2 linked regions of the Drosophila melanogaster genome follow. The protein of the gene in region 1 purifies or fractionates together with the protein of each later gene. This does not show direct contact. Each region holds a gene or a part of one and is shown in the gene's direction. Other genes may lie near its edges. The genes, in order: CG5913 and CG31249.

What was found.
Region 2: the proteins of CG5913 (region 1) and CG31249 purify together in Drosophila melanogaster (affinity purification with mass spectrometry, with the first as the bait; one large-scale study listed by BioGRID). This does not show direct contact.

Annotation. Positions count from the first base shown.
Region 1 is NT_033777.3:25,888,976-25,901,002, forward strand, and holds CG5913 (uncharacterized protein), read left to right. Parts: upstream 1-4,519; 5' UTR 4,520-4,594; coding exon 4,595-5,959; 3' UTR 5,960-6,051; downstream 6,052-12,027. Other genes in the region: Lnk, read left to right, coding at 803-1,303, 1,728-3,059, 3,474-3,827; Sodq (sodesque), read left to right, coding at 6,905-7,165, 7,504-7,728, 7,793-8,119; Mco3 (multicopper oxidase 3), read left to right, coding at 8,515-10,305, 10,373-10,615; CG31091 (uncharacterized protein), read left to right, coding at 11,619-11,783, 11,839-12,027.
Region 2 is NT_033777.3:17,680,537-17,692,614, reverse strand, and holds CG31249 (uncharacterized protein), read left to right. Parts: upstream 1-5,543; 5' UTR 5,544-5,649; coding exon 5,650-5,719; intron 5,720-5,777; coding exon 5,778-6,104; intron 6,105-6,253; coding exon 6,254-6,609; 3' UTR 6,610-6,926; downstream 6,927-12,078. Other genes in the region: osa, read left to right, coding at 1-2,797; CG31360 (uncharacterized protein), read right to left, coding at 7,084-7,202, 7,265-7,442; CG31251 (uncharacterized protein), read left to right, coding at 7,770-7,870, 7,928-8,460, 8,520-8,806; CG7655 (uncharacterized protein), read right to left, coding at 9,006-9,440, 9,500-9,826.

The DNA of each region.
Region 1 (12,027 bases):
TGACGTAGGCGTGGAAATTCCTGTGGGAAATTTTTCACCACCGCGCCGCTGTGTGGGTGTGTGTGTCTGCCCTCGCATTTGTGTGAGTGGGTGTGTGTGGGCTACGCCGCAAGTTTGTTTTCGTTTACTTTTAATTGCCGAGAAAAAGGATTAATTGTGGCACTGAAAATGCGTGTTACTTAATGTAATGTGCAAACATGCGTAAATATTCATTACATAAATGCAAAATTCTTCAGTGTACATTGTTATGAACAAAAATATGTGCTTAAGTCTGGGCGCTTATCATTATATACATTGCATACCCGTGTTTTAAGAAAATATACCATTTTGCGCCATCAATAAGTCAGGCTGTTAAATAACTCAATAAACAGGCTTGTAAAATCAATATTGTGTTTAAATAGCAAGCAAAGCTAACTTTTTATTGTTTTGTTTTGGTCAGCACTTAATTCTTATCAAGTTTTCTAGAATTAAAGTTGCCAAAATTCCCCCAACTCGTTGAAAACCTTAATCCTGTGAGTCAGAGAATAGAAATAGATCGTTGCACATCGGCCCAATATATAATACATATAACAACTAAACTATAAATGCTTTTGTATTCTTCAAAGCGATCAGCAATGATCGCTGTTTTTGCGAAGTAACTCGACTAAACCGCGATCGCATTGTTTGTCTAACATTTCAGCGCTTTTGAAACGGACTCCAGCTGGGTAACTCGTGTGGCAAACTGAACCGGAACCGGCAGAGGCAGCGGCAGCAGGAGCAGGAGGAGGACCTGGACCAGCGGAACTGGCAACCACCTGGCCAAATGGGTGGCAATAGCACAGGAGCGAATACGAGCGCCTTCAGCGCTGGCGGTTACATTGGGCCCACGTCGGCCAGCAGTCATCACAGCCTGGGAACTTCATCGGCGGCAGCGGCAGCAGCAGCAGGAAGTGACCTGATACCCGCACCAATTGGCACGGGCAACGCCATGGGAGTGTCTTCGTATGCATACGGTGGAACCAGTTGGGAGGAGTTCTGCGAACGACACGCCAGAGTGGCTGCCTCGGATTTCGCCAAGGCGTGCATCACGTACATTAATGGCAATCTGCCGCCGGAGGAGGCGAGGAACATCCAGCATCGCAGCTTTGCTCAGAAATTTGTGGAATCCTTTTCGGCGCACTACGACACGGAGTTCTTCAAGCGGAGGAGCACTCTTAAATCAGGTGCGGGCTCGCTGGACTTCGAGGAGGAGCACGAGGTGCCAAAACTGCTCTCAAAGTCTCTATTAAGACGACTATCATTCAAAGGACTGCGCAAGGGCAAGGTGAGTTGATGCTCTTCTCAAATCCTCTCGAAATCATTGAATAGATTGATTTTTGATTATTTCGAGGCCACACTTGATGCTTATACTTTTTTTTTAGACATGATTGTTGTTTTCTGTCCGATAATACCCATTAAGAAGGTCACGAATCACGAACTAAAAGTATGCAGATAAAAGCATTCACTTTAGCATTCTTTGCATTCTGTCCATAAGTCCGATTAGACCTCACTGAAGTGGTATTATTATCTTCTATTTGATTTGTTGAATACGTCATGATTATCAGAACATGCTGTCAATTATGCAAGTCTTTCTTTCAATTTTGCAGATCATGAAGTATTTCACATTGATTAAAAAGCTTTTCAGTGCCAGGATGTTTTATAGTCGGAAACTCCGGCTATATTGTCACCACTTGTTTTAACTGTCAAAGATCTCTTTGCTGCAGGCCTTCTTCCACAAGAACTCGGATGACTTGGATGGCAGCGGTGGCAGCGGCAAGCAGAGCAAGACGAAGCTGGCCAAGATCGTTGTGGAGTGCCGGAAGGAGGGCACAGTGAACAACCTGACGCCGGAAAGTCTGGATCAACCGACGGGCTCCCAAAAGTGGGAGAAGTGTCGACTTGTACTGGTCAAGGCCGTGGGTGGCTACATGCTAGAGTTTTACACGCCGCACAAGGCGACTAAGCCGCGCAGTGGAGTCTTTTGTTTCCTCATCTCGGAGGCTCGCGAAACAACGGCACTTGAGATGCCGGACAGGCTGAACACATTCGTCCTCAAGGCAGACAACAACATGGAGTATGTGATTGAGGCGGAGAGCGCGGAGGAGATGCGGAGTTGGCTAGCCACAATACGGTACTGCATGCGAACGCCACCCACTCAGCAGCCAACGATCGAGTCGGATGGTGTTATGGCGTCCGCCATGCAAACATCGCCGACACTTCCGAGTCCCAATCCCATTGGTGGGATTCAGAATCCGCAGTACCAGCAGCAGCGCGGCTCGAATGGCAATCTGGTGGGAGGTGGAGCTCCGCTCACCTCATCGCTGTCTGCAGACAGTGCTTTGGGCCAGGGAGGAGCCACTTCTGCCAGCGAACTAAATGTCATCAACGAATTGGGCACCTCACCGACCTCCGGGCCACCTGACATACCTGTAAGACCCCATCGAGGTGAACAGCGCCTGTCCGCCTCAAGCAACTTCGATGGCATCGAGGGCACGGAAAATGATGCAGATGTGGCGGATCTGACGGCTGAGATGAGCGTGTTTCCCTGGTTCCACGGCACACTGACGCGATCAGAAGCTGCCAGAATGGTACTCCATTCGGATGCAGCCGGACATGGATACTTTTTGGTGCGACAGAGCGAAACGCGCCGCGGCGAGTTCGTTCTGACCTTTAACTTCCAAGGACGAGCCAAGCATTTGCGGCTCACCATTTCGGAGAAGGGTCAGTGTCGGGTGCAGCACCTGTGGTTTCCCTCGATCCAGGAAATGCTCGAACACTTCCGCCACAACCCGATACCACTGGAATCGGGCGGCACTTCGGATGTGACTCTTACCGAATGGGTGCACTCACACAGCAGACTGAATGACCCGACGACGGCAGCAAATCATGACTCAGGACAACTCAACGATCTTTCGACAAATGGGAATGGCAATGGGAACGGCAATGGCTACGATAATGGTCAGGGTTCATCGACGGCATCGAATGCGGCGGGAGGAACTGCATCGGGAGCTGCTGGCGGTGGCCATCCGTCGCCGAGACATGTGAGATAGCCAAAATTTTGGAGTCAATTCAGTGTCAGTGATGGTTTTTTATTTTACTTTGATTTCAATTAAGTTGTTATCATTTCATATCAACTGGGATGGGGCTTGAACTGTGAACTGATGAATCTAGAGCTTAGTAACTAACTTACATTTTGTTTTAAAAATCCAAAGATTGATTCCAATAGTAACTTTAATCAATCAATGAAGCTAAAATTCTAAATTATAACTTGCATATTTCAAAACCGGATAAATGAATTTTGGAACCCTTTGTTTCAAGTAAATATGTTGTATTTTAGTTAGTTCGTGTTTAGTTTGATTTGATTGTCGCATGCTTCATGTTTCACCACACACCCCAGACCGCCCCGAAAAAGTCTCCAGACTAACTAAACTTTATTTTAAATACTCTTCCAACAGTGCAACGAAGTGATTACCATGAATTTGAGTGTTCGCCTAAAGACAAATGAAATCGAACTGCCACAGGAGCCAACACACGTCTATTTTCCGGAGCAAGTCTATTTCCATTTGGATCCCACAACGCTAACAGTGCACGGATCACCGCCACCGGCCCAGAATTTCCTGGACCAGCCACATCTGCGGGCTTCGAACGCCTCCCTTCAGGCAGCTGCCCACCATCAGGCGGGTTCCTCCGGCAACCGGCATCCCAGCGATGGCGGCAGCAACAGCGGCGGAGCAGGAGGCGGATCGGGATCCAGTGGAGGAGCCGAGTGCACCGGACGGGCCGTCGATAATCAGTACAGCTTCACCTAAGTCCGCGCGATCGATCATCAACTGCATTTCGCGGCTTAACCAGCGGAACTTTACTTTTGTGCCATTTTAATCATTGTCCTAAAGGAGAGGAAAATTGTGTTTTTTTTCGCATCAATGTGCGTTCTTTGCTTTCTTGATTCACTTGTTTCTATTTTAGTTAGTACCTCTTTTGGAAGACATGAAGTAACTGAACATTATTATGTATACATTATATAGCTAAATGTGTGTGTTCATTTTAAGTACATCAATGTTGTATGTATAGAAAAGAAGAACCTAAAAAAAAAAAAACGCAAAAGAAAATTGTACGATTTTTGTGGGCACCAAAGGTGCGACTCATGCGAATCCTAAAACTTCCTGCTTTACAAAACAAAAATACATACATATATACCATACTTATAAATATAAATTATATATACATAAATATATATTGAAATTGGTAAACTACAATAAATGAAGTTATGTAAAAGTAAACCAACGTCGGTCTTCTTTCATTTGGGCTTTGGGTTTTAAAGTGGTTATTTTAATTACTTTTACCAAGTCTTTATATTATATATAAATTCGTTTGAAATAAGGTAACGAAAAATGTTTTTCAAAATATTTGCATGGTATGTGCCCGTGCTAACCTCGCAGCGCTATTTTGACAAGTTGGCAGGTTGGCTTTGGAAAAGTTTTTGATATTTCCGACCCACAAAGCAATGGTCACATTGCCACGCCGGTGAGAGGCAAAAAGTTGACAATTCGAGGAAAAGCTGAAACTCTCGAAGGATATGGAAGATCTGGAACTGTATTTGGTGGATTCCCTGAAGGCGCTGTCCTTCCAAGGGCACTGCCAAAAGCAGGAAAATCTGAGTCGTGCCCTGGACGCGGGTATTGAAAGTCCAGACATGCAAGAGGTGGTTCTTTGGCTCGCCCACGAATTGCACATTTTGCGGAAAACCGATGAGCGGGTGAATCAGGGCAAAGCCCTTAACAAAGACTTTTCCTTCGAGCTGTCTCTGCTACTCACGGAACTTGGCTGCCCGTACCGCGAGCTGGTGCAGGGACCCATAGAGCAGCGATTCAAGAGCCGTATGGCACTGGTGCAGCTGCTGGAGTACCTCACATCCGAACTGATGACCACCAAAATGGTTCTGAAGGCCCAGCCCGTGGGTCCACCCTGCAAACGATCGAAGGTGGACACGAATGTCCAACAGGTTGTCGAAAACTTAGCCAAGGATCTTCAGCTGGGCGAAGTGCCTAAGAACATCAATACCAAGATGCTTTTCGAGAAGATAACTCCCCGCTTGGAGCAGGCCATTAAAAAAACCAATCCCCAAGTGCTCAGCGAACCGCTGTTGAAGCTTAAGAAGCCCTTGACTGATGCACAATGGCAATTGTTGGAGACCCTGCACCGAGAACTGGAGGCGGAGTACAATTTGCGCAGGCAGATGATGTCCACGCGTCTGGAGGCCACTGTACAAAGCTTTCAGTGGTCGGAGTCTATGCGTCAGCGCTCCAATGAGATCATGGATCGATTCAATCGCAAGATGAGGGAGCTGGATCAGTTTAAAGTGGGCGGAAAGCAAACCGACTTGGTCGCCCTGTTGGCAGCTCGCTCAGATCTGGCCATCATTGAGAAGACAAGCTCAGCGAATGTGAGAAAGAATACGGCTTCCAAAATCCAAAAGCATGTGATTGGTCGGGTACCCGATCGCGGAGGCAGGGCCAATGAGCATGCTCCTCCGCCACCAGAGATGCCCTCGTGGCAGCAGCAAAGGGCTAGTGGTCCTCCAGGTGGCGGACGCGGTGGAGGAGGTAATTTCAGAGGAGGCAGGGGCGGCGGCGGCGGTGGCGGCTTCGGTGGAGGAAGAGGAGGTGGAGGAGGAGGTGGAGGTGGCAACTGGCAGCAGCCTCAGCAGCAGCAGCAGCAACATCAAAACCAAAGTTACGAACAACGTGACCGCAGCGATAGAAATGATCAGCAATGGATCAGCGGGAGTGGCCGTGTGCAGGGTACAGGCTGGAATCCACAAGGCGGCCGTGATGGTGGAGGACGTGATGGAGGAGGACGTGATGGAGGAGGACGTGATGGAGGAGGACGAGGCAGAGGAGGTGGAGGCGGTCGCGGAGGATACCGTGGCGGCTACCGATGATCCCTAATTCCCAAAAATGTAGACCATAAACGACTGATCCTCTTGTAAACTACTAACATTACATGTCTTTAATCGCACGCATACCCCAGTTTAATTTATTGCGAAATTTAACGAATTTGTTAATTATTGCAAATGGGCAGGTATTTATAAAATAAACTAAATATGCCATCTATTTGCCAGCAAATCTCGCGTGTCGATTTCGCTTTTTGGGAATCTGGGTTAGGTGTTTCACTTTCAATGTGTTCGTGATTAGCCATTTTAGGTTCACATTATAGTCAAATTAATCAGATAGATAATGAGGGCAACGGACTAAGTCTAATGAATTATTATTACAGCATTATATTATATAGTTTGTGACGTATATTTGGTATTACCATTTGTTTAATTTAAAAATTAAATATTCAATAGAGTACATTACTGTCAACGCTTTGTTACAAAATATTGCATACTAGATATACACTTTAACGATGATCTAGTTAAACTTTAGTTATAGACCGTCAACGCATATATACTATATTATAAATTCATCAGTACTTTGTTCCAATTTGTGGTAATATAATTATAATAGCTTACCTATGCTTCGATATTATTGAACTGTCAACCGCTTCTGAACGTCTCAATAATGGGATTGTGATCTTGCCCTCAATCCCCGCAAGAAGTACGCCCATGTGGCAGGTAACCAGGCATCAGACCCAGACACACGCGACACTCGATTGCCATTAGCTTCCAATCTAGTCATCAAATGTGCCGGCTATATATCTGTCTATATATCGCCACCACTGCGATCCGCAGGCCGGTGACAATTAACGTGGTCAATCGGCGTGAAAACCATGTCGAAGTCATCATGGATGAGCCGAGTCGGGCGCTTGGATCAGTTCAACCGAAGCCCCAGAACGGTGAGGTCGCAAGTTTCTCACATTCGAGTCCTAACTTAACCAGTTTAGAATGCTCATTAAACTGATATTGGCGTTGGTAATTGGTTATGGCGGCATTTTTGCGCCTGGCAGTGCACAAAATCTGTTGGATCGACTGCGTCCGGTGAATATGACCCGCTTCGATGATGGCATTAAAGTCGTTTCCGGCACCAAAGTGAAGCGCTATGAGCGCCTGACGGTTCCGCTGGGTGGTCCTGTCGGCATTCCAGGAGCCGCTGGCCTTTTGGGACCTCTGCTGCCTCCTCAGCCGTCGTATTTGGGATACACCTATGTGAGTATTTATGGTTTTCAAATTAAACTTTATGACCCCGTCATAATTTGTAAATTACACAGTCATTTAACTAAGCGTTTAGATTTCTTTTGTGCTCCAGCCATAGAATTACATTATATTGTGCAGATTCAATTTCAATGAAAGAATGTGTATTTCCCCCACTCGCACATTTTTTGCAACTGCCATTTAATTTTATAATGATGTGAAATGCTAATTGCATATAACTATTCTCTTTTTTGCAAGCCATACACTTTTTACCCCAACATTTGAATTGTTTAAGCAGTTTGATCTTGATTTTTATACTATAATATTTATTATATTTGATTTATATTTTCCAGCAGTTGGTGCCTCAATGGCAGGCGGGTGCAAAACTGATGGGCGATGGCGAAGGAGCGGGCGTGGCCGGAATGATATCCTTTGTGCAGCTGCCCTACAACTCGGACATTAGGGTGACGATCAATGTGACTGGATTGCCACCCGGTAAACATGCCCTGCATATTCACACCTTTGGCGATCTCAGCGATGGTTGCAAGTCCACCGGTGGACAGTTTCCCAATAACTTTGTAAGATCCAGTGGAAATGATTTTAAATTTTATGTGATTTAATTAAGCCTTTGGAGTTGTACAGCTCGGTAATGTGGACACCAAGGATGATGGCAGCATCTCGGCGGTCTTTCAGAGCATTTACCTGCAATTGTTTGGCATCAATGGGATCGTTGGGCGTTCCATAGTGATACACAGCAAAGCAATCGATCTGAATACTGCCCTAAATGCAGAGGTATTTTCCTCCTCCCTGCAAGCCATGCCAAATCCCCTGGCCTATCAGAACGAGGAGAATTCACTGGGTCCTGCCATCGCCTGTGGGGTTATAAGTATTATGAGCACAGCCGCCAGTTCATCAGGTATGGCAACAGCTGCACCAGCACCACCTGCAATGGAAAATCCAGAGATTTAACTTGTAATTATATCATTCCTTTAATAAATAATTTGTAGTTACTCAATTGAGGCTTTGATCAGAGTCAGTGATCAGTGTCCAATCATCTTGTTTTACTATGTTATGTTCACTTAAATCTGTATGCTTCATTGCGAGCTCAAACATATATATAGTGCTTTCAAATCATATTTTTCGGCATAGTTGTTATGAAAAGCATCAGTGGCCTATTTTTCATCAATTCGAAATATATTTATGGTATTATAATATTTATTTAAATTACAGCCAGAGTCTTATAAGTGGCCAAACTGTTGGGTTATTTCAACTTGATCGCTCAATATTATTTTCGAGCTTATCGAATTCAGCTCAGCTTTAATGGCCATTACGTGCGGCGCATGCGCAAAGGTCTGGGTCGCCCAATGGGCCAAAACTTTCTTCGTCGGCTGCCCGCGAATCGAGTGGCCAGTTGCCCGTGGCGGTTCGCGATGTCCAAACGCGAAAGTAAAAGTTTTGCCAGCCTGGTGCTGATAGTACTACTGATTTTCGCTTCAAACCCGTCTCAATGTGAGTCCTCCAAGGACGATTTCCCGCAGGCCAAGTTCGAATGGCCCTCGTTTGCCTGGATGCGAAATAAAACCACAAAGGGTACACCCGCGTTGGATCTGAAGAACGACTACAGCCAGATGGAGTTGGCCAACTTTGGGGACTTTGATCGTCATCCCTGCAGAAGAGTTTGCCAGCAGGGCCAATCGCAGAACTGCTACTACCAACTGGTGGTGCACAATTACCAGCGACTCGGACCGGAGTGCCAGAGATGCCAGTTCGATGAGAGGGCCTGTGCTTCGGAGCATTGTATTTATGGCGATGGAGTGGCAAATCCAGTGATGGCTGTTAATCGCATGGTTCCTGGACCTTCCATAGAGCTCTGCGAAAACGATACTGTTGTCGTGGATGTGTTGAATTATCTAAGTGAGCCAACAACGATGCACTGGCATGGAGTGCATATGCATAGAACTCCCGAAATGGATGGAGCACCCTTCATTACCCAGTATCCTTTGCAGCCCGGTGAGGTTCAGCGCCACGAATTCAAAGTGGATCGAAGTGGTTCGTTGTGGTACCACAGCCATGTGGGTTGGCAGCGGGGATTCGGAGTGGCTGGTGCCTTTGTAGTGCGCCAAACCAGTCAGGAGAATCAGCATTCACAGCTTTATGATTATGATCTTGTGGAGCACACCCTTATGATCCAGGATATATTCTACGAATACAACCTGCAGGATGTACGGAATATTCTGGTGAACGGAAAGGGTCGCAATCATCTCAGCCAATTGCCCGACAATGATAACCGTCATCGGTATGAACGACTTCGAGTTACTCCAGGCTATCGCTATAGGATGCGAGTTATCCTGAACGGAATAGCCAATTGTCCTGTGGAGTTCTCCATCGAACAGCACAGGCTCTTGATGATCAGCACCGATGGTAATGACATTGAACCCGTGCTGGCAGATGGTTTCTTCTTGACCTCCGCGGAGCGATTTGATTTCGTTTTGGAAGCTAATCAGTACAAGAAAAACTATTGGATCAGGATCAAAGGCTATGAGCAGTGTGAGAATCGAAATATTTATCAAGGAGCCGTGCTCAGTTACCGCGGATCTGCTCGCTCTGAGTTGCCACAGGGTGATATCCTGGATAAGCCAAGTAGCAGGGCTGCAGATGAGGATCTAATCCTGGTCAACGATTTCCGATTTAAGCCTGCAAATTCCACGGCCATATCGTCACTTCGCCAATCCTTAGATAAGGATAACAATGTTGGTACCGTGGCGTTGCGATCCGTGGATCCTGTGCCCTGGACTCGTTACACCAAGTTCTTGACCCATTACTCCAGTTTCGGTTCGAGAACAGCGCCAAACGGAGAGGTACTCTTTCAAATCAGTGATATTTCGTACAATTCGCCGGGAATATCACTGTTGCAGGGCAGGCATCTCTACCAGGACGATAGATACTTCTGCAACAAGAGCTCCCTGGCCGCAGAAGGACGAAATTGTGAGCGTGAGCTTTGCGAGTGTGTTAATGTAATGAGGCTTCCGGCCTATCGTCCTCTGGAGATGGTTGTAGCCAATTATTTGGACAGCACACATCCCTTCCACATACACGGATTTACATTCCGTTTGGTGGGCCAAGGAGTGCTGGGTAATCTCAACGATTTGCGCAATGTGAGTAGAGATTGTAGATTTACGAAGGGTCTTCTAGAAATACGTTATCCTTGTTCTGTTCTTATAGATTCAGGAGCTGGATCGCAGAGGACGTCTTCCTCGTTTATCGGAAGACAGCGCTGCCGTTGCCAAGGATACTGTGCAAATTCCTGGACAGGGATACATAATAGTTCGATTCATCTCAAACAATCCTGGATTTTGGCTATATCATTGCCATGTTGAAGCACACGCCGTCCAAGGAATGGTGGCGGTGCTGAAGATCGGTGAGGATCATCAGATGAAAAACATTCCGGCACGTGTGCGCTGTTGAGTATTTATTTTTAATATAATCATTCCGCCCACTTAAAATGCCCACTTTATGTATCTGGGTGACCTGATTTTGCCAAATAGAGTTTACAGATTATTTATATCATTTTTATTTATTAACTAATTATTCAACAAATAAATTGGTGATTAAAGTTACTAATTGTACTTCCCTTTTTTATCTGTAACCTCCTCAAGTTCCAGTTAATCAAATAAAAGGTTTCCTTTACGCAAAAGCTTGTTAATTCAAGAACTAATCGCTTTGCCTTAACTTATCGGCCAGAGGCACTTCAAAATGTATTGATAATCAAAATGGAGAATTTACCCCCATCAAATGGGGGCGTTGTTTTGGTTATTAAGCCCCATTTATAGATTTTAAGAGCGGTAGTTGTATATTTTACGGCCTCTACTTGTTACTGGGGAAAATTGGGTTTTGATTACAAAAGTCGGCTGACATCTATCGAATTATTTGAATTTGAATGAAGTGAAGTATAAATCTGATTGAGCTTTTCAACATTGAAGTGAGTCTACTTGGAGATGTCTAAGTTGCATCCGTTGAAGATAAGATTGGATTTAGTTAGATTTACATAATATTAACTCTTGGTAACTTATAACTAAATTAACTGTCGGAGGTTGTACGATAATTAATCTTGAGAGCAAAAAGTGTCGAGCATACACGCGAAAACTCAAGAATACCACTTGGCACTCGAAAAAACCGTTTTTATCACTAGTATTAGTGATGGAGAAATTGAAACTTTCCTGTACACAAGTTAAGTAGGTTCTAAGCTCGCGCGGAAATCCCCCATGTGCCTCATCAACAGGGATATATGGATTCTTATTTTACTATCCGATAATGTTTCTTATGTTCCGACCCCACTTAAGTTTATTCCTTTTTAATTGGCTTATGTAGTTGATCGGCTCGTATCAAATTAAGTACTTAACTAAAGTGCTTGACTAAACTGTTTATAAGGGAATGGTTATCAGAAAATTTTCACCAGTTGAGTCGCAAAATGTATAGATCACACATCGCTGTCATTTGTGCCTTCGTGGGCATATTCGTGGGGACAGTTGTCCAGTCTGCTCCTTTTTCCAATGATCCTGCAGAGGTCCCAAACTTCTATGAATTGTTCAATAATCCCGATGCACACTTATCCTTGACCAATGGTCCCGACACGGTATGTTTGACTCACCTTTCTTTAGATTATTGTATTAAATATATGCTCTCTGCAGATCCATTTCATCGAGGAACATGGTTATCCAGTTGAGCGACACTATGTGACCACTGAAGATGGCTACATTATCAGCCTCTTCCGAATTCCATACTCGCACAATATCCAAAACCAGCAAGAAAAGAGGCCCATTGCTTTCATTCAACACGGTCTTTTTGCCAGCTCCGACTTTTGGCCAAGCTTGGGACCG
Region 2 (12,078 bases), 8.2 Mb from region 1:
GCCTGTACTTTACCGAAGAAAGCGGCTTATGAAGGCGGACGTGTGCCCGGTGGATCCATGGCGTATATTCATGGCCATGCGATCTGGTCTGCTGACCGAGTGCACGTGGGCACTAGATGTGCTTAACGTGCTATTATTCGATGACTCAACAGTCCAGTTCTTTGGCATTTCAAACCTGCCCGGCCTGTTGACTCTGCTGCTTGAACACTTTCAGAAGAATCTCGCCGAAATGTTCGACGAACGGGAAAACGAGGAGCAGTCCGCTCTGCTGGCGGAAGATGCGGATGACGACGCGGACAGCGGCACTGTGATGTGCGAAAAGCTGCGTACCAGCGGACGGCAACCTCGATGTGTGCGCAGCATCAGCAGCTACAACCGCAGGCGGCATTATGAGAATATGGATCGCAGTGGCAAGGATGGAGCTGGCAACGGCAGCGACTCAGAAGACGCCGACGAGGGAATTGATTTGGGTCAAGTGCGAGTACAGCCTAATCCTGAGGAGCGCTCACTGCTGCTCTCCTTTACGCCCAACTACACGATGGTCACGCGAAAGGGTGTGCCAGTGCGCATACAGCCCGCCGAAAACGATATATTTGTGGATGAGCGCCAGAAGGCGTGGGACATAGACACCAACCGCCTGTATGAGCAACTAGAACCCGTAGGTAGCGATGCGTGGACGTACGGGTTCACAGAGCCAGATCCCTTAGACGGCATTATTGACGTCTTCAAGTCGGAGATTGTTAACATTCCATTTGCACGCTACATCCGCTCTGACAAGAAGGGGAGAAAGCGAACGGAGTTGGCTTCCTCATCCAGGAAGCCAGAAATAAAGACGGAGGAGAATAGTACCGAGGAACAGACGTTTAACAAGAAACGGCGATTGGTTAGCGGAGGCAGCAGCAGCAGCGGAGCCCACGCCGAAGGCAAGAAGTCCAAGCTGACGAGTGAGGAATTTGCCCAACCAAACGCCGAAGTCAAAAAGGAGCCAGGTACGGCGGACAGCGATTGTCGCCCCGTTGATATGGATATCGAAGCACCCCAACAACGTCTGACCAATGGTGTGGCACCCTGCTCCTCGACTCCCGCCATCTTCGATCCCCGGACGACTGCCAAAGATGAAGCGCGGGTGCTTCAGCGAAGGCGTGACTCCAGCTTTGAGGATGAGTGCTACACACGAGATGAGGCGTCGCTCCACCTGGTCAGCGAGAGCCAAGACTCGTTAGCGCGGCGCTGCATCGCTCTCTCCAATATCTTCCGCAACCTGACATTTGTGCCCGGCAACGAGACGGTGCTGGCCAAGTCTACCAGATTTCTGGCGGTACTTGGTCGACTGCTGCTCCTGAACCACGAGCACTTGCGGCGCACACCGAAGACGCGAAACTACGATCGCGAGGAGGATACGGACTTCAGTGACTCGTGCAGTTCGCTGCAGGGCGAACGTGAATGGTGGTGGGACTATCTGATTACCATTCGGGAGAATATGCTTGTTGCCATGGCCAACATTGCTGGACACTTGGAGCTGTCGCGCTACGATGAGCTAATTGCCCGCCCCTTGATCGACGGCCTGCTGCACTGGGCCGTATGCCCGAGTGCTCATGGACAGGATCCGTTCCCGTCATGCGGACCCAATAGTGTTCTCTCGCCACAACGACTGGCACTCGAGGCACTTTGCAAGCTGTGCGTGACGGACGCCAATGTTGACCTCGTCATTGCCACTCCACCATTCTCGCGTCTGGAAAAGCTGTGCGCCGTGCTCACCCGACATCTGTGCCGCAACGAAGATCAGGTGCTGCGAGAGTTCTCTGTGAACCTGCTGCACTACCTTGCAGCTGCTGACAGCGCCATGGCTCGGACCGTGGCGCTTCAGTCTCCGTGCATCTCATACCTGGTGGCCTTCATCGAGCAGGCCGAACAGACGGCGCTAGGCGTGGCGAACCAGCACGGAATCAACTACCTGCGCGAGAATCCTGACTCGATGGGCACCAGCCTGGACATGCTGCGGAGAGCAGCCGGCACCCTGCTCCATCTGGCCAAGCATCCGGATAACCGGTCGCTGTTCATGCAACAAGAACAGCGGCTGCTTGGTCTGGTCATGTCGCACATCCTGGACCAACAGGTGGCTCTGATTATTTCGCGTGTTCTTTACCAAGTGTCGCGAGGAACAGGGCCTATTCACTCCGTGGAGTTCCGTCTGCTGCAGCAGCGGCAACAACAACAGCTGCGACCTGGTCCTGCAGGGAAGCAAGCAGCCAGTGCAGGAGGAAGTGCGACAGTAAAAGCGGAGACTGCATCGACGGAAACGAGTTCCACTGAAGCGAAGCCCGCACCAGCAGCCACTACGGCAGTGGTCAACGATGAGAACAGCAACAGTAGCCAGCAGTTGCCGCCGGCAGCGACGTTCAACGACGTCAGCAACAGCAGCACCAACAGCAACAGCTGCGGTACGGCCAGCAGCAACCAGACGAACAACAGCACCACCAACAGCAGCCACAGTAGCAGTGCAATCAGCAGCCAATCGGCGATCACGGTAGCCGCTCCATCAGCAGCCGCAACAGGAGCAGGATCAGCGACAGCAGCAGCGATTGCCAGCGATCAGCAGCAGGTGAGCAAGGTGGCTGCAGCTGCGGCCGCTGCTGCGGCTTTAAGCAATGCCAGTGCAGCGGCAGCAGCAGCTGCGGCGGCGGCAGCTGCTTCCGTTGGTCCGCCCACATCGTCGAGCGTGTCCGCCGGAGCAGCGGTCGCTCAACCAGCGGCACCTCCACCAACCAATGCAGGAACAACGACAGCCGTTGCGTAGTATACGACAATGATGCCAGCGTCCTACTACTGGCCACGAACCCCGCGAGGGGCAGTCGACTAAGCTGGCGTTCGGTGGTTGAACAGCGGGCCCAGGAGCAACTCCGAAGTGCAAGACCAGAAGATGATACCTGCATCCATGTGGGGTGGGCATGTAAATTTACTTAAGTATGGCGCCAAGAGAGAGAGAGAGAGTCACGATGTGCGAGAACTCGTGTCCGAACTCTAAGGATACGTAAACGGGAACTCAGCAGGTGCAGCGCCTGCAATGTATCTGCGATGGAATGGCTCGCCAATCCATCACTGTAACAGTCAATACAATAACAACTGTATATTTTTTCACTCAAATCTAAAAATAGTAAATATGATAACTAAACCTAAACCCTAAGCATTAAGAAATTGAAGCAGCATAGTTATGATCATTCGAAAAGGAAACTGTTCGGAGCAGAACCACTGATACTAACCGATCGAGTTATAGGATCGGGGATTATTATTGAGTCGAACGTGAAGATAGGAAACGGAGGATAACAAAGTTAAGAGCGAAATTCAAGCACACAGCATACTTATTGTACTAAATTTAATAAAAATGAAGCGACGAGCGAGGAGGAATAACTAACACATACATATGCATACGCACGCTACGGTTTATCGTATATTAAATATATATATAAATAAATGCATAAACTAACATTAAATTACATGAGAATGAATTGTGTATGTAAAAGGGATGAATGCATACATACGTACATCTAGACATTGATATATAAATACATAGAGGATAGTTTTTAAATTCTACCACTTACTAATACCTACATATTACCACAATGTGCAGCATAGGAACTCATAAACTGATCGAACTGAACGAACACCAAAGTTCACGCGGAAATATTTAAAAGCAACACGTATATAAGGCAGTTTATTGGATTCAATGTGGTCTAAATGTTGCAGAAGGACGAATCCTTAGAGATGACTAAAAACCATTGTACATACTTAACTATTATGTAAATTTCACTGTATTTTTGTTTTTACGCAATGTTACAAGGCACATGTAAGTGGCAGCACTGCATTTTGTATTATGTTTATGTGTATGATGTTGTATGATGTATTGATGGGCTGCGAAAATTCCAACTTCTTAGTTTTAATCGCATAACTCGGAGGCGAATGGAAATGAAATTAAGCGAGAGAAACAAGCAAACAAGCAAAAATGAAAAACCCTCAGATGAAGGCAAGCAAACAATTTAAATTGAAATCAAATTAGGTGATATAATATATAAAAATACATAACATATACATACATAATTAATATAAACGAAACATGAAAAATCGAAAAAATGAAACCCTAATGCTGTAATCTTATGTTAACTGTATTATTTGCTGGAAGTGCTGCTGCTTCGTTTTATTTTATATCGAACTTACTTAAGGCGTAAATGACAAGATAAATAATTAGGTTTTTATCTTAATCTTAATTTAAAATGCAAAACAAATAAAACCAAGAAAACAAAGCAAAACAAAACGAAACCATAAAATGCTATAAAACACAAAGCGAAGCAAATCGAACTAAAGCTGTAGAGAAGCACGCAAAAAGGACTAATAACCACACATCCACACCCACACCCAAAATGCTTGGCGTTAGGAAACCAATAAACAATTAATGCAAAACCATACATGGGTGGGTGCACCAATTTGTATACTAAACTTTCTCACACATAATTAACGTGCTACATAAGAGATCGAAAATGAAATGTCTCCAGATTCTGGCATGAGCAAGTCTAGAGGTCCTTCCGGTTTCCGGTGGCGATCCTCTGGATCCAGAGGAACTGCAAGATATTGGGAGATAATAGGAAACTGCTGCTGTTGATACGTGTATTCGTGTAGTTGTTTGCAAACAAATATTATAACTCAGCATCTCGATATATAACGTGTAGTTATTAGTCTATAATTTGCTAGGATGTAAATGTATGTCCCTCAAACTTAATTTAATTATTTAATTAATATACATACATATATGATATACAATACAGCCTTTGTACTTGTCGTTTCTTATCGCTGATAAGGGAAAAATATTTTTTGGCGGGGAAATACTTTTTAGAACTCATTTCGATTTTTTCAGTGCAAATCAATTGGTCAGATTGATGAATCCTATGGTAACGCATTCCCAAAATATTTCTTATTATATTATTATAAACTATATTGCTTCTGTTCAGCGTAGGACATTCACTGTTGAGCGAAAGATTATTATATAAATGTATATTCGAGATAATATGCAATTGAGCACCTAAATACCATGTCTAGGTTTTCAAAAATGTCTAGTAACAAGATCTTTTGTCTGTTATTAGGCTGTACTTTCAGCATTGAGGTCGATGTTACTCGATTGGGAATTTGTGCATTGTATTTACAATGTCAATTTGTTCAAATTTACAATTTCAAAAATCAATTTTAAAAGAACTTACATTAATATTAAGAATTCGCGTGTTCCGGGATAAATTTGACTTTTTTAATTAATTGACAATTTTAATCGGTCAATGAAGAGCTTTAAAATTGTATTAATAGTTCTTCAATTAATTGAATAATATGATGTGCAAAAAAATAATTATCGGAAAAAATACTTTTTGACAGTAAGTAGTTTCTTACAAAATATTTGATTTAAAAATTATATATCGATACTTTTTCGAGATTATTAAATTCGAACAGCTTTATCACAGCAAGTTGGCAGCCCAATTTCTACGTCGATAAGTCCTCTCGTTTAATGTTCCATCCCTTAAATTTGGGCGATAAGAATAAGCACAGCCGGCTGTAACATTTTTTGTAAATTAACAGAGCGAATCGATTTTTGTATAGTAATCCGTTGAAAGCATGCTGTCGCTCAAGATGAAACTCGAGGTACTGGGTCGTCCCGATGTTGACATCCCGGTGGTGATGAGCGGTAATTGTCTAGTTTTCCTGATGGGGCTATAAGTCATCCCATTCTTTTCGTTCCGCAGACCGCAAGGAATTCGCCAACACAGTCCTCTGGTTGGAGGACCAGAAGATCCGGCTTTACTCCATAGAGGATCGCTGTAAGCTGCGCACTGTCGACAACCCTGAGATCTGGAAGGAGGGTTACTTAAAGTACTGTGCCGATTTGAGCATGCCGCCCCTGGAGACGCGGCAGGAGCAGCTGGCCTGGATTGTCAGCTATGCTGTGCGCCTGGACTTCCTCGATGATCCTGATCAGTTTGCCTCGATTAACACCAAACAGGTGCCACCCCAAAGCAATGGCAAGCAGTCCCAACAAAGGGTCCAGGCTATTTTCGATGGAAATATTAATAGTATGGTCTGATTTTAACTAAATTTACCATTTAAGGAACTTTAAATTTATATATTATGGATTTTTTAAGAGGTTCCAAAAACCACTTTTATTATCTATAGATGATAATCAGGTAAAGTACAACAAGTATTAATTCTTTCTTCCCACCAGCTCAGGAAAAAGCGTTCGTGGATGGAGTCCGGCTGCTGGCCAGCAAACTGAATGTGCCGCACCACCCGAACCATCTGTTGCAGCTGGAGGCTATCGCTCGCGTGGTGCACGAACGCCTCTCGCCCGCCGCCAAGGATCGCAAGCCGGTAGTGGGTAAACCCTTCCCTTTTGACAAGGGAAACGACGTCGTCTCGTCCAACGACTCTGCCCTGGACCTGCCCATGCGCATACTACGTCTTCTCCAGATCCAGAGCCTACGCGAGCTGCAGACACACATCAATGAGACCATTGTGGCGGTGCAGAACATCACGGCCAATCCAAAGACTGATACCAAGCTGGGGAAAGTGGGATTCTAGACGATTAACAGTAAAGGAACGCAATCGACACAATATAACATAAAAGGACATAAAGAACATAAAAGTTTTAAAATTGCATCTATAAAATATCCTTTAAAGCCAAGCAACAACATTTAGCAGAAATCAATAGATAGATCAACAGCCAAGCTATGAACAAGCAAACACCTTTTTTGAAAGCTATAAAATAAGAATCCTGTTGATATTTTATAATATTATTATTAATACAAACATATGTTTATTTATGATCCTCTTTCAAAAGATGCAATATTGTGTATGCCTATGTAATTAATTTATTTAAAATAAATCATAAATTCATTAAAGCAAACAAGGTTTTGTTTTCAACGATTTTAAATAGAAAAAATTCTAAAAACAAGGTTACAGCTATATTATTGTAATGCCACATGGTCGTACAAAAGAAAACATTAACCTTTATATATTAAGTGACTCTACGATTATAATTAAAACGTCATTGAATTAACGTCTAGAAAAGAACTGATGATCAGTGCTAGTATTTTCCTGTTCTTTTGGCTTCTCGGCGGTTGCCTTCAGGAAATTCGCGTCTGCCAGGCGGGCCACGCCCAGAACTCCAACGGCTATGGCGACGAAGGAGAAAGGAGTAAACATAAGACCGGATTTAAGATCCCAAGTGGCTCACCTGCAGCCAAGCCTTTCATAGTGAAATTCTCCAGAGGTTTCGCTTGTCTTTTTTTCGACTGTGCCAATAGGAAGGCACCAATTCCCAGGAGTCCAAGGCCACTGACCAGACGGCAGGCCAAGCAGTCCACCTCGTTGGAAACGTTGTCCTTGTTCCAAAAAGAAAGTCTACCGATCATTTTTAAAATTATTTCAATAATAACAATTTGGGAATGGATTTGGAAAATAAGGCGACAACTATCGATATACCAAGTTTGTCGCAGGGCTGCCAACTTGATTGTGTTAACTAAACTAGGTTTTTTGTTAATTCGATCAACAAATGCTTTATTGACCTTATTTTCTAATAGAACTAGATTCCTATTAATATTATATATGTTGACCACACTCTAAAATCTTTAATATGTATCTATCTTTTTAATAGCTATCGCCGATTTAAATGCATTGTTATCGATAGACGTGAACATTAGATGTTAAGTTAAAAGCGGCCGGTTACTATTCTTACAAAAATGGACTTTCAGCGAAACGATGCTATGCTCATGGAAATTCTGCAGGATCGGAAAACTATTACAGGTTTCCTGGACTCCATTTTCGGATTTCTGCGACGCAAGTAAAAGATTTTATCTCAAGATCCTTAACAAAACTGTAGTCCCACTTCCCTTTTTAGCACCGACTTTTATCACACAAAACGCGATGAAGCGGATAAAATAGGCTTCCCCAAAGGCGTGAGGGATCAGATTCTATATGGCGCCATGCAGCGCTACGATCCGGATTGCTTGCTACAATCCCTGACCGCGGAAGGCGGTGCAGATGATGGAGAAACGGCTCCGCCTGCCGTCGAAGAAGTGGTCCTGGAAAGCGAAGATGGTCCTCAGGACGAGGAAATGAAACCCATAGAGAGCCAGCCGCCACAAAAAGGGAAGGAGCAGTCAAAGTTCTCCCCCAGCGACTACAAAAACGGAGATGTGTTCGAAACGCACTGCTGGTCACAAACCCTCAAGGATGTGGAGGTGCAGGCTCTGCTTCCCAAGGATCATCAAACGGCGAAGAAGCTGCACATTTCAATTCAGGCCCAGCACATCAAAGTGAGCAGCAAGCATAGCCCAGAGACGATCATCCTCGAGGGAAACCTGAGCCAGCGGATTAAACACAAGGAGGCGGTGTGGACAATTGATCAGAACCGATTGATCATAAGTTACGGTGGGCATTCACCTAAAACATCTTTATAAACCATTTTCATAAACTGTATATAACTGTAGATAAAGCAAAGGAGCTCTGGTGGGATCGGCTCTTCGAAGGTGATCCAGAAATCGATTCCAAGAAGATTGAATGCGAACGCTATATAGATGATTTGCCGGAGGAAACCCAGGCCACCATAGAAAAGCTTAGGGTCCAGCAGTTGGCAGCAGACAAGCAACAAAATGAAATTCAGACCTCAAGTCCCGACCAAGCTATAAACCTGGATCGCCTGAAAGCTGCCTGGGATGCCGAAGGTTCGCCGTTTAAAGGACAGCCCTTTGATCCTTCTATCGTAAGAATGAGTTAAATTTTAAAATAATTAATTAAGCTAGCAATAGTAGTAAAATAGTAAAAACTGAACCATATATATTTTTATATATCTTTTAGTTTTTTCATTATTTGTTTCGTTCTGATTCGGAAACTGAAATTGTTAGAAAAGTATTATTCAATACAAACTCATGTCAACTTACAACTAGATCTTAGTAAGAACACTTTTGAGATTAAGTTTACTTGGCCTTCAGTTCGAGTTTCTTGCGCTGCAGTTGAATCTTCTGATAGGCCACATCCTTCTGATCTGTGGACCAGGCCAGGTACATGTAGGTGGTCAGCAGCAAGGCCATGACTAGCCGATCCACGCTCATCACATTCGTGGCGAACAGGATGACCGACAGGCCCACAAACGAGGGATGTCTGACATGGGCGTACAGATTGCGCAATTCCCCGGATTTGTAGCTGATGGGCGGTCCGTAGGCCTTCAGATCGTAGTAGGCTTGCTTGACGCCCAGCAGCTCTGGCAGATCCATCACCAAACTGCCGCCAAAGATGACAACCCAGCAGATGCCATGGGTGATCACGAAGGTCCACCAAAGCGGAGCACTCTGCTCCACATCGATTTGCCACAGAACAATCGACTGAGCGGGCAGCCAGTTGACGATCAAATACTGAAATGTCCAAAGTTGCAGTTGGGAGCTATTTCTGTCCAATTTGTGGGTATACAAACATGTAAACAAAGCGATGACGTCAGGCTATAAATAGTGCGCTCCGCACCCGACAATCCCAACTTGGCCAACAGCTTCTTGACCACGGCTGACTTGAGGAAGCTGTGCTGGAAGATGAATCCGATCAGGTAGAGGGTATCGAACACCACGGGTCCATAGGCGGTCTGCAGGCGCGACTTGTTGTCCAGTAAATTGAAAATCCAGGTGTGCGCCTTGGAAATCGAACGAGGCGTCGAAAGGAACATCATCAGGCTGCCAACCACGTACAGGGAGTAAGCGAACGTGGCCAGGGATGCCAATAGTACTATGGACTTGGCAATCGATGTCATTTTTGTCAGGAAAATTGAGAAAATAGCTTGTTATTTCGAGATAATCAAAACAAATTCAATGAACGTTTCGGTGAGCTAATCAGTGCGACCATGGCACAGTCGCGATAAAATCTTCGGTGAAGAATTTCAATTTGGTTTGTGTCCACGATAAAAACATCGCTCTCCCCACGTAGCGTGTCTCGGCTACAAAAACATAGCGCATTTATCCGGCGGCTTGAGTCATCGCTAGTTGTCCAAATTTAGGACTATTATGTGACTGGCGCGATTTTTGGAGTATGTCGCCACGGTCACTCTGTTTGCAAATGTTTCAATTTTCCCACTAACGAAAAAGTGTAAGTCCGCAGCCGAAAGGCATAAGAAAGTTGAGAAAAAGTTTAACAGTTGCAAGTAAGAACTGGTTTGATAAAGCGTATCTAAATCCAAGCAAAGTGATGAAAAAACTGTCGACGCGACAACCCAACACACACACACACTCAAACAGGCGCAGCGCTCCGGCACACATACACAAGTGGCTTGCAAATGGCGGATGCGTTTCCAACAAAAAGAAAAGAAGAAGGAAAAGAAAGACTGCATTGTAAATGTGAAATGTTGTGAAAATTGTTGACGTTGCAAGTGGCTTAAAATCGGCTGAAAATCAGCGTTAGAAGTATAGAGACTGGAGATAAGAAGGGGAGAGCGGTGTACATGTATGTGTGTAAGTGCAGTGCGACGCCCTTTTGTCTTGAGAGGAAAAAGGAAGCCACTACTTTATTTATCGGTGTGCAATTATTCAAGGTGCCAATTAGTAGTCGACACACTTTCACTGCTCCCCATTGCTTAATTATGAGCAAAGGGGACAGCTGACTGCTTTGATTTGCCAAAAATCTCGGGCGCCGCCGTCTGGCCGGGGCCCTGCCCCCGCCCTTTCCCATTTGTTGTTCGCTGATTTTATCAAAGAAAAAGACAAGAAATGAGCATAATTGATGCGCTGACCTCACCACACACACACACATAAGCATATGCGGGCTTATCAAAGGAGCGAGAGCGGAGCAGAGCTCAAAAGAGAGAGCGGAGCAGAGCAGCTGCAGTCCAATAAATCATAGACTCAAAAATCGTTCGTCATCGGGGAAAACCAATTGACAATCAACAAATGCTATCGACGTCTACGTCAGCAATCAATAATCATTAACCGCCAGCTTTAGACAATATCAATTTGCCTATTTATAGCCTTTATGAGTCACTCCACATTTTAGACCAACCTTCCATCTGTGGACCAAAAGAAAAAATTAGGGAAACGAACTTGGAACCTGACGCTCCCACGCAGGAATAACAAGAAGACACCACACACCGCAAAAAACATGCCACGCTTTCTTTCCCACAGAGATAAATAAAGCAGCATTGCATGTTGCATAAATATTACGGGAGAAAAAGACGAAAAGTAGGGAGCAGTGCTTTCTAAAATTAAAACTCTTGAGCCGCTGAAAATAGCAGGGGCAAAAAATGCATTTATGAATAAATAGATGAAAAATAATGAATGAGTGCGAGTACGCTCTCGCTCAGCGGTGACAGAGAGAGCGAGGAAAGCACTTGCACCGTTATCAGTGATGCTGCTGCGAAAGCAAGCTAGTAAAAGTATAATTTCAAATTATTTTTTTATGAAAGAACAAAAATAATATAAAATGGAGAACCCGGTTAAATTTTAGATAGATTGGAAGTTTTCAGTTTTAAGAAGTTATTAGGATATGTAAGTTGATTATGAAAAACAATTTTTTTTTAGAAACAAATCTAGACATTTATAATTCGCATAAGGACTTTAATAATTATACACAGTTACGAGGATCAATAACTTTTTTATTTCCATTTGAAGAGATGTAATCGCATTGGCGAATACTTGACCCACTTCAAACACGCTGCCTTCAAAGGCCAGAAAATGGTCAACTTGGCATTTCTGGCCGGGGCTCACCAACAGGGGAGAAATTCCATGTGCCAGCAAGTGCGAGTGTGTGTGTGAGCAGGCAGCTAATTGAACACTGGGGCGCCGCAAAAGAAAGGGGGAGGGAGGGAAGCAACGGCACAGAAAGATAGAAAGAAAAACGGGAAAATTAGGCCAACTGTGCAGTTCGATGTCAGTTTGCCAGTTTGTCAGTTGGCTGTAACGAGGCCGAGCAGCCAGCGTGTTTTGCATGCTGTTCGACCATAATACATAATTATTTATAGATGGTCATAATGATAATTGGCAGCAAGATTTCGACTTTCACACACTCGTTTATACA